Linked DNA regions of Caenorhabditis elegans. The protein of the gene in region 2 purifies or fractionates together with the protein of the main gene of each other region. This does not show direct contact. Each region holds a gene or a part of one and is shown on either strand. Other genes may lie near its edges. The genes, in order: Y46E12BL.2 and ddx-27.

The links.
Region 1: the proteins of ddx-27 (region 2) and Y46E12BL.2 fractionate together in Caenorhabditis elegans (co-fractionation; one large-scale study listed by BioGRID). This does not show direct contact.

Annotation. Positions count from the first base shown.
Region 1 is NC_003280.10:15,231,102-15,235,022, reverse strand, and holds the start of Y46E12BL.2 (Ribosomal RNA-processing protein 12-like conserved domain-containing protein), read right to left. Parts: upstream 1,871-3,921; 5' UTR 1,862-1,870; coding exon 1,794-1,861; intron 1,729-1,793; coding exon 1,459-1,728; intron 537-1,458; coding exon 463-536; intron 414-462; coding exon 250-413; intron 1-249. Other genes in the region: spsb-2 (SPRY domain-containing SOCS box protein 1), read right to left, coding at 2,398-2,534, 2,829-2,994, 3,373-3,455.
Region 2 is NC_003279.8:1,766,106-1,770,026, reverse strand, and holds the start of ddx-27 (RNA helicase), read right to left. Parts: upstream 2,141-3,921; 5' UTR 2,086-2,140; coding exon 1,528-2,085; intron 163-1,527; coding exon 1-162.

The DNA.
Region 1 (3,921 bases), on a different chromosome or scaffold from region 2:
AAAATAAATAGCAAAAAATAAAATAAACAAAATTAAAAAACGTGCAAGCGCGCTCTATCGAACAAATCCAATTGGCGGAAATTTAAATAGAAATTAGGGGAAAATTGTGATTTTTCCAATTTTCAAAAAATCATATAAAATCTGGAAAATTTTTTTGAACATTTTTATCATGATATTTGGTCATTGTGACCCCATAGGCATGTTTTAAAGCAATTTCCCCACTGCCGCTGCTTCACAAAAAGCCCATACCTGCACAAATCTGTGAAACTGAGCTTGAAGCACCTCTTTCGGCACCTTTCTCACAATCAGATGAAGCAGATAAGCGATTGCTGCCGTTCTTCTGGGATTTCCCAGCGAGGATCCTTCCAGCGCGGTCATCAGAGCCGCACAGTACTCAACGTCGGATTCTTTGCCTGAAAATCCCTAATTTTTAGGCCTAAAATTATGGGGGAATTAAACTACCATCCCGCTCTTTGATGACTTCAGCGATTGCTGCCAAAACCGAGACAACCTCTGCTTGAATAGAGGACCCAGATCTGAAGAAATAAATCTATCAGTCTACGGCTCGTGCTTTGGAAAAGAGATTCAAGAGTTTAAAATCAAATTTGAAAATAAAAAATTCCCGGTCTCCTGGAGTGTTATAAATAATTATTAGAGCGCGCTCGTGCGGCACCTCACGAACTCCAGAAGTCGCGGGAATTCGTTCCGCGGGGACAGCAGTTTTTTTGCTATTTTTGGCTCCTATAGGAAATATTTTTGATTTTTTGTTTTATAATATTCTTGAGAAGCATCATCCGAATTGAAAATGTGTAAAATTATGAAATTTAGCCGAAAACTGAAAGTTTTACAGAAGGAAGCCACTACAGTTTTAAAAAAATGTATCAGGATCGCCAGTTTTGCGTTTTATGTGTCGTAAAATATGTCATTTTGTAGAGAATTAAAAGTTTCATACGAATTTTCGTTTGAAAATTTAAAATTGCTTTTATTAAAAGCTTAAAAATTTAAGAAACAAGATTTTAACGTAAAATTGTTGATTTTTTGAATATTTTTATATTAGAAATTAAAGAATTAAAATTTCAAACGAAAATTCTCATGAAACTTTTAATTCTCTACAAAATGACATATTTTACGACGCATAACTCGCAAAACTGGCAATCCTGAAACATTTTTTTAAAAACTATAATGACTTCCTTCTGTAAAACTTTCAGTTTTCGGGCAAATTTCATAATTTTACACATTTTCAATTCGGATGATGCTTCTCAACAATATTATAAAACAAAAAATCAAAAATATTTCTTATAGAAGCCAAAAATAGCAAAAAACTGCTGTCCCCGCTGAACGAATTCCCGCGAATTCTGGAGTTCGTGAGGTGCCGAGCCAGCGCGCTCTAATAATTATGAACACTCCAGGAGGTCGTGAAATTTGTTGAATTTTTGGAAAAAACGCTAAAATTCTCACTTCCAGACCCGATTGACAGAATCAAACGCAGGATTTGTGCAAGCCGTGAATCCGGAGAGCTTAGACAAGCCTCCCTCGGAAACCATGCTTTTCGACGAAGAGCCGATATCCATCGAATGAATCGGAAGAGCCGAGAGCAGCATATCGTCGGCGGCGGCGGTGTTCATGAGACGATCCTCGACGGCAAGCATGCCGGCTCCGCCGAAAGAAGCATTTCTAGCGGCATTGGCAGCGGCGCGATGCTTGCTTCTCGTTGGGTTGCTTTCACATCTGAAAAAACAAAAAAACAATTAAATTTAATTATATTCAACGAATTTATCGACGTTTTCACTCACGCTGATCCTGAATTAAATTTCGCTGCTCCCTTCTTACTTGTACGATGACGGAAATTGCCACCTCCCATTGTTTTTATCTGAAAAAATGACAAATTTGATGGAAAATTCCTAAAACAAGGCGATAAACTGTTGGAAAACGATGAAAACTGATAATTTGAGTGCGCAAAAATTTATTTTATTGATTTTAAGTAAAAAATAACTGAAAAAAACCTTTAAAATGCAAGATTCTCAGCAAGAAATCGGCGAAGAATAGCGAAAAAAAATAAATTGTTCGGTTTTCGTGGCGAGACCCGAGGTGTCCAGAGGCCGCGTCCCCCCGCGTTTTCTAGGCCGTCACGCATTGAAATTGGCGGAAACTCAAATCGTGAAGCGATATTGAACGACAAAAGCTTTTGGAAAAGAGTCAAAATATTTTAAAACATTGTAAAACAAAATTCCAATTTTCATTCAGGTATAAAAGCAATATATTCAATATATAAATCTGAGTAATTCACAATTTGACAGCGAAATTTGCAAAAAAAAAAGTGGTGAAAAACCGTGGGGATTTGTGGGTTAGTGGAAAAGAGGAGAAAAATGTGAATTTTTGGCGAGAAAATGATCAATATCACTCAATCTCATACAACAAATATTCCTTCATAACCGGCGGGATCATCAGCGGCTTGATGCGTTTGTCGGGGTCTGGTCCCATTATGCTTCGGAAACGACGTCGACACAGTTCGAACAACGGTAGCATCTCGACTGCTGAAAAAAAAAAACAAGAATTTCGATTTGGTTCTGGCTTTTCTCGAATTTTTACAACTAAAATTTAGCTAAAACCGAGCCGAGCCGCGACGCGACGCGACACGCAAAGCGCCGTAAATCTACACCGGCCGTGGCCGATTCACAGCGCGTTGCGTGTCGCGTCGCGGCTCGGTTTTATTTGTAAAACATGATTTTAGAAACCGCGATTTCTCAGAAAAGAAACTCCGAGAAGGAGATCTACAAAAAGACAGCCATCACACCCTTTTTTCTGCGCCGCACGTTTACAAAACTCACGTTCCAGTGATCCCAGATGTGTCATGGTAATCTCACAGTCTCCATAAAGAGTCGCCACAGCTGGGTATAATCGTTTTCCCCGGAGATTTTGGAATACAACTCCGAGGTACTCGTTGTCTGTGGCGAATGACAGATTTCCTTGCTCCATGTCCAGAATGCAATAGATCTGAAAATTGATTGTTTTTGGGTTTTTGATCAAAAATTTCAAAAAAAAAAATGTTTTTTTTGTTTTTTATAGCAAAAATGGTTTTTTTGGTATTTTTTGGCAAAAAATTGGTTTTTTTTGTTACAAAATTGAGATTTTTTGGGTTTTTTTAAAGCAAAAAGAGATTTTTTGCCAAAAATAGGTATTTTATTGGCAAAAGATAATTTTTGCCACTTTTTTTTTGGCAAAATTGAGATTTCGGTTTTTTTGACAAAACTTGATTTTTTTGGGTTTTTCAAAACGAAAATTGATTTTTTATCTGGCGAAAATGGTTTTTTTTTTGGGTTTTATGGCCAGAAATTGATTTTTTCGGTTTTTTTTTTTGGGAAAATTGTTCACCTTTTCAGGAACATTGAAACCATCTCGACCATTCCCGTACGGATACTTCCACTTCCACGAACCGTAGTGACATTCTCGTGTAGCTGAAAAAATTGAAGAGTTTGGGTTTTCAATCGCTTTTTCTAAATTTTCTTTTTGTATTTAACATTTAAAACTGGCCAATTTGCATAATATTTGCCTATGGGGTCACAATGACCGAATACCATGATTAAAAATTCAAAATAATTTTCTAGATTTTATATGATTTTTTGAAAATTGAAAAAATCTCACTTTTCCCCTAATTCCTTTTTGAATTTCCGCCAATTGATTCGTTCGATGGAGCGCGCTTGCATTTAAAAAATTTTTTTTTCATCAATTTTTCGCATTTTTGACTGATTTTTCATGTTTTTTCGTGTAATTTTATTGGAAATTTACCGAAAAATTCAAGATAAATGTAAATTGTTCATTAAAAAGCGGGTATTAAAGTCTAAATTTGTGAAATTGAATATTTCAGGCTCTCAACGTCGTTGGAAAACGTTATTTATTTGTTTTTCAGTTATTTATAGTGAA
Region 2 (3,921 bases):
TCGGAAAACTTGGAATACTTGAATTGCCAGTTCACGAGTTGGTACCAAAACGAGTACACGTGTACAACTGGCACCTTTCGGACGATAAATCATACGTTCGAGAATTGGAAGAACGAAGGCGGCGGTTTTTCCGGTTCCAGTCGCTGCACAGGCGCAAATGTCCTGAAATTGAACAGTTTTAGATCAATTTTTGAAGAAAAAAAAAATCACTAAATGTCCTTTTTTTTTAAAGGAGGTGTAGTCGAATTTTTTAAATTGCTTTATTAGACTTAAAATTGTCTGAAAACACCGAATTTCATAATGAAACTTCACAAAAAATTTCCAAAAATTTTTTATGGCTTGTCAAAATTTCAAAAAAAAAGAGCCAAATTTTGCTAAAATCTGAAATTTCGCACACTTTTCTTTGTCACAGCTGCTGGATTTTAACTTTTCTGAAATTATCACCTTTTTATCCTTATTTTGGTAATTTATATTTTTGGATGCCTATCAGCCTAAAAGTTGTCTCAATCATCGAATTTCCGTGATATAAATTACCAAAATAAAGATTAAAAGGTGATAATTTCAGAAAAACTAAAAACCAGCGGCTATGACAAAGAAAAGTTTGCGAAATTTCAGATTTTAGCAAAATTTGGCTCTTTTTTTTCGAAATTATGACCGGCCATAAAAAATTTTTGGAAATTTTTCGTGAAGTCTCATTATGAAATTCGGTAGTTTTGGACCATTTCGGGTCGGAAAAAGCAAAGGTTCAAATTTCGGTACTCCACCTTTAATTCTTGTCAGAAAAATTCCAAAAAAAAATTTTCCGCAAGATTGCAGTACCTTTCCAGTAAGTGCCACCGGAATACACGCCTGTTGTTTTTTTTTTGAAAATTTCAATTTTTTTTTGGACAGCAGTCTAATAAAAAAAACCCCAATCTGGTTATTTTTTCAGAAAAAATAATTTTTTTCACGAGAATTGTTTTTTTTTTCGCAAAAATGATAGAAACATTACCTTAAGTGAAAGTTGATTTTTTGCTGAAGAATTTTTTAAAAATTTAGTCCTGACAAAAATGTTAATCATTGGCTTTTTGTGTTTTTTTTTTTGAAAAGGAAGCAAATTTTTTTGAGAACGAAAAATTTCTGGTTCCTTCAATATACATATCCGTTTTTGGTATTTTTTTTTGTGAAAATTTTTTTTTCGGAAGAATATATATTTTTTTTGGAAAATTTGAATGTTCTTCAATTTTTTCTCTTTTTAAATTTTTTTTTTGGAAAAAAAAACGATTTTTCGGGCATCTTTCCAGTTTTTCATTAATGTTGAATTTTTCAATTTTTCCCAAAGGTAAAAAAAAAACTAAAATTGATTTTTGGCAAAAAATAAACCAAAACATTAATTTTAAGATTTTTCAATCCTTTTTTGCCTAAATTTTTTTCAAAATAATAATTTGGAGTCAAATAAAAATATTTCCCAGACATTTCACTACTCCACCTCTACTTTTTGTCAGAAAATTTCCAAAAAAAAAAATTCTCCGCAAAACAGCAATTCACCTTTCCAGTAAGTGCGACCGGAATACACGCCTGTTGAATAGGCGTCGGATCCGAATATCCAGCGCCGGAGCACGCCTTCAAAATCTGTCGGCTCAAATTCATTTGTTCAAATGATACATTAACACTCGTGTCGAGACTTTTTCCATCAATCAGCGCCGAAAAGAAATCCTCATTTTCCTGGGATTTCTTTGATTTTCCACTTTTTCTCTTCTCTCGTACAGTATCTCGTGTCTCTTTTCCACCCAATTGTTGAACATCATCCTCTTCTTCATCTTTCTCCTCGGCTTCAGCAGCTTCAGCTTCATCCTCAACAATTACAGCTTTTCCCGTATTCTTCAACTTTCTCATTTCGGCGATTTTCTCGTCCAGTGACGTTGGCGTCTGCTTTTTCAGATATTTCTGAAGATCCTCGGTTTCTCGATCGATAAATTGGGTGTCGCCTGACTCAAAAATGAAATCCTGAGCAAATTCTTCGGCGGCATTCGCCATTTTCTTCTTCTTTCTGACGGTTACTGCCTCGTCTTGGACTTGCTCGTCGTCCGACTCGTCGATTTCCATTTCTTCGTCGGATTCGACGGTTTTTGGGAACAAATTCACCATTTTTTTTTTGGCTCTGAAAATTGGGAAATACGATTTTTTTAGTGGGGGAGGGAATTTTTTTTGAAAAAATCCAGATTTTTTTGGATTAAAAAAATTAGGGCATTTTATTGGGTTTTTGTTGATTTCCAGAGGATTTTTCACTTGAAAAATATCGATTGTAATGGAATTTCTCTGAAAAAACCGTGAATTTCTCAATTTTTAGCTAAAATTTCAGAAAATCTCATATTTTGGAGCATTTTCAGAGGATTTTTGACTCAAAATTCTAGTTTTCACGGATTTTTCAGTCAAAAAATTTCGATTTTTATGGAATTTGTTCCTTTCAAAACCGGGAAATTTAAAAAAAACGACAATTTAATTTTGCGCTATTCAATTTTTTTGTTAGACAAAAATTACATTTTTTTGGCTATTTTTCTTGGAAAATTTGAATTTTCTATATTTTTTGGACACCAGTCAATTGAAAAAATATTTTTTTCTGAAAAAATCCAACAATTTTTGGATTTAAAAAAAATTGACATTTTATTTGGTTTTTGTTAATTTCCAGAGCAATTTTTCTGTCAAAAAATATCGATTGTAATGGAATTTCCATGACAAAACCGGGAAATTCTCAATTTTCAAGCTAAAATTTCAGAAAATCCCATTGTTTGGATAATTTTCAGAAGATTTATGACTGAAAATTGACTTCTCCGCGATTTTTATGGAAATTTTAAAACAAAAAAATCAATTTCAATGATTTTTTTAAAACAAAAAATATTCTCAATTTTTAGCCAAAAATTTTTGATTTTTCAGGGATTTTTCAGTCAAAAAATATCGATTTAAATAGATTTTCCTCGCAAAACCGTGAATTTCTTAATGTTTAGCTAGAATTTCAAAAAATTTAATTTTTGACTGAAAATTGATTTTTTAGGAATTTTTAGTCATAAAATCATCAATTTTAATGGAGTTTTTCCCTCTCAAAACCGTGAAATTCTTAATTTTTGCCAAAATTTTAGAAAATCTCAAATTTTGGGTTTTTGGGAACAAATTCACCATTTTTTTTAGAAGGGGGAATTTTTTGAAAAAATCGGAAAAAAATCCAGAATTTTTGCATAAAAATTTTTTTTTGGCATTTTATTTGGTTTTTGGAAACGATGGGCTGTAAAAAAGATTTTTTTAAATTTTGTTAATTTCCAGACGATTTTGCAGTCAAAAAACTACTTTTAATGGGATTTTTCCCTCTTTTTTTTTTTTTTTTTTGTTTTTTTTTTTTTTCATTTTTAAATGAAAAATTACGAATTTTTCGGCATTTTTCTGTGCTAATTTTTTAAAATTCTATATTAAAAAAATCTTTTTTTAGACTAAAATTTCGAAAACTTTGCCATTTTTGAACAAATTTTCTCAATTTTTAATTTTTTAAGCTACAAAAGTGAATTTCTACAAATTTTCGAATTAAAAAAAAAATTGAATTGGTAAAGAAAACCAATAAAAATCACGACGAAAAAATTCAAAATTCTCCAAAACCTCCATAAAACAGTGTTTTTCATACAACACATTGAGAGAGGCACCAATTGAATAGAATAAATAGTAATAAAGCGAAAAAATGGGGAGAAATTACCACATATTTTGGCATTACAACGGGGGGAATAGAAAAATTCAGAGAAATATTGAAAATTATCAGAAAAAAACGGGGAAATTCAGGAAAAAATTGAGATTCAGAGAGAGAGAGAAAGAGATGAAAAAGATTTTTTGAAAATTAAAAAAATTAAGAAAATCAACAAAAAAAAAATTACAGAAAAAATCAAAAAAAGCAATTTTTCA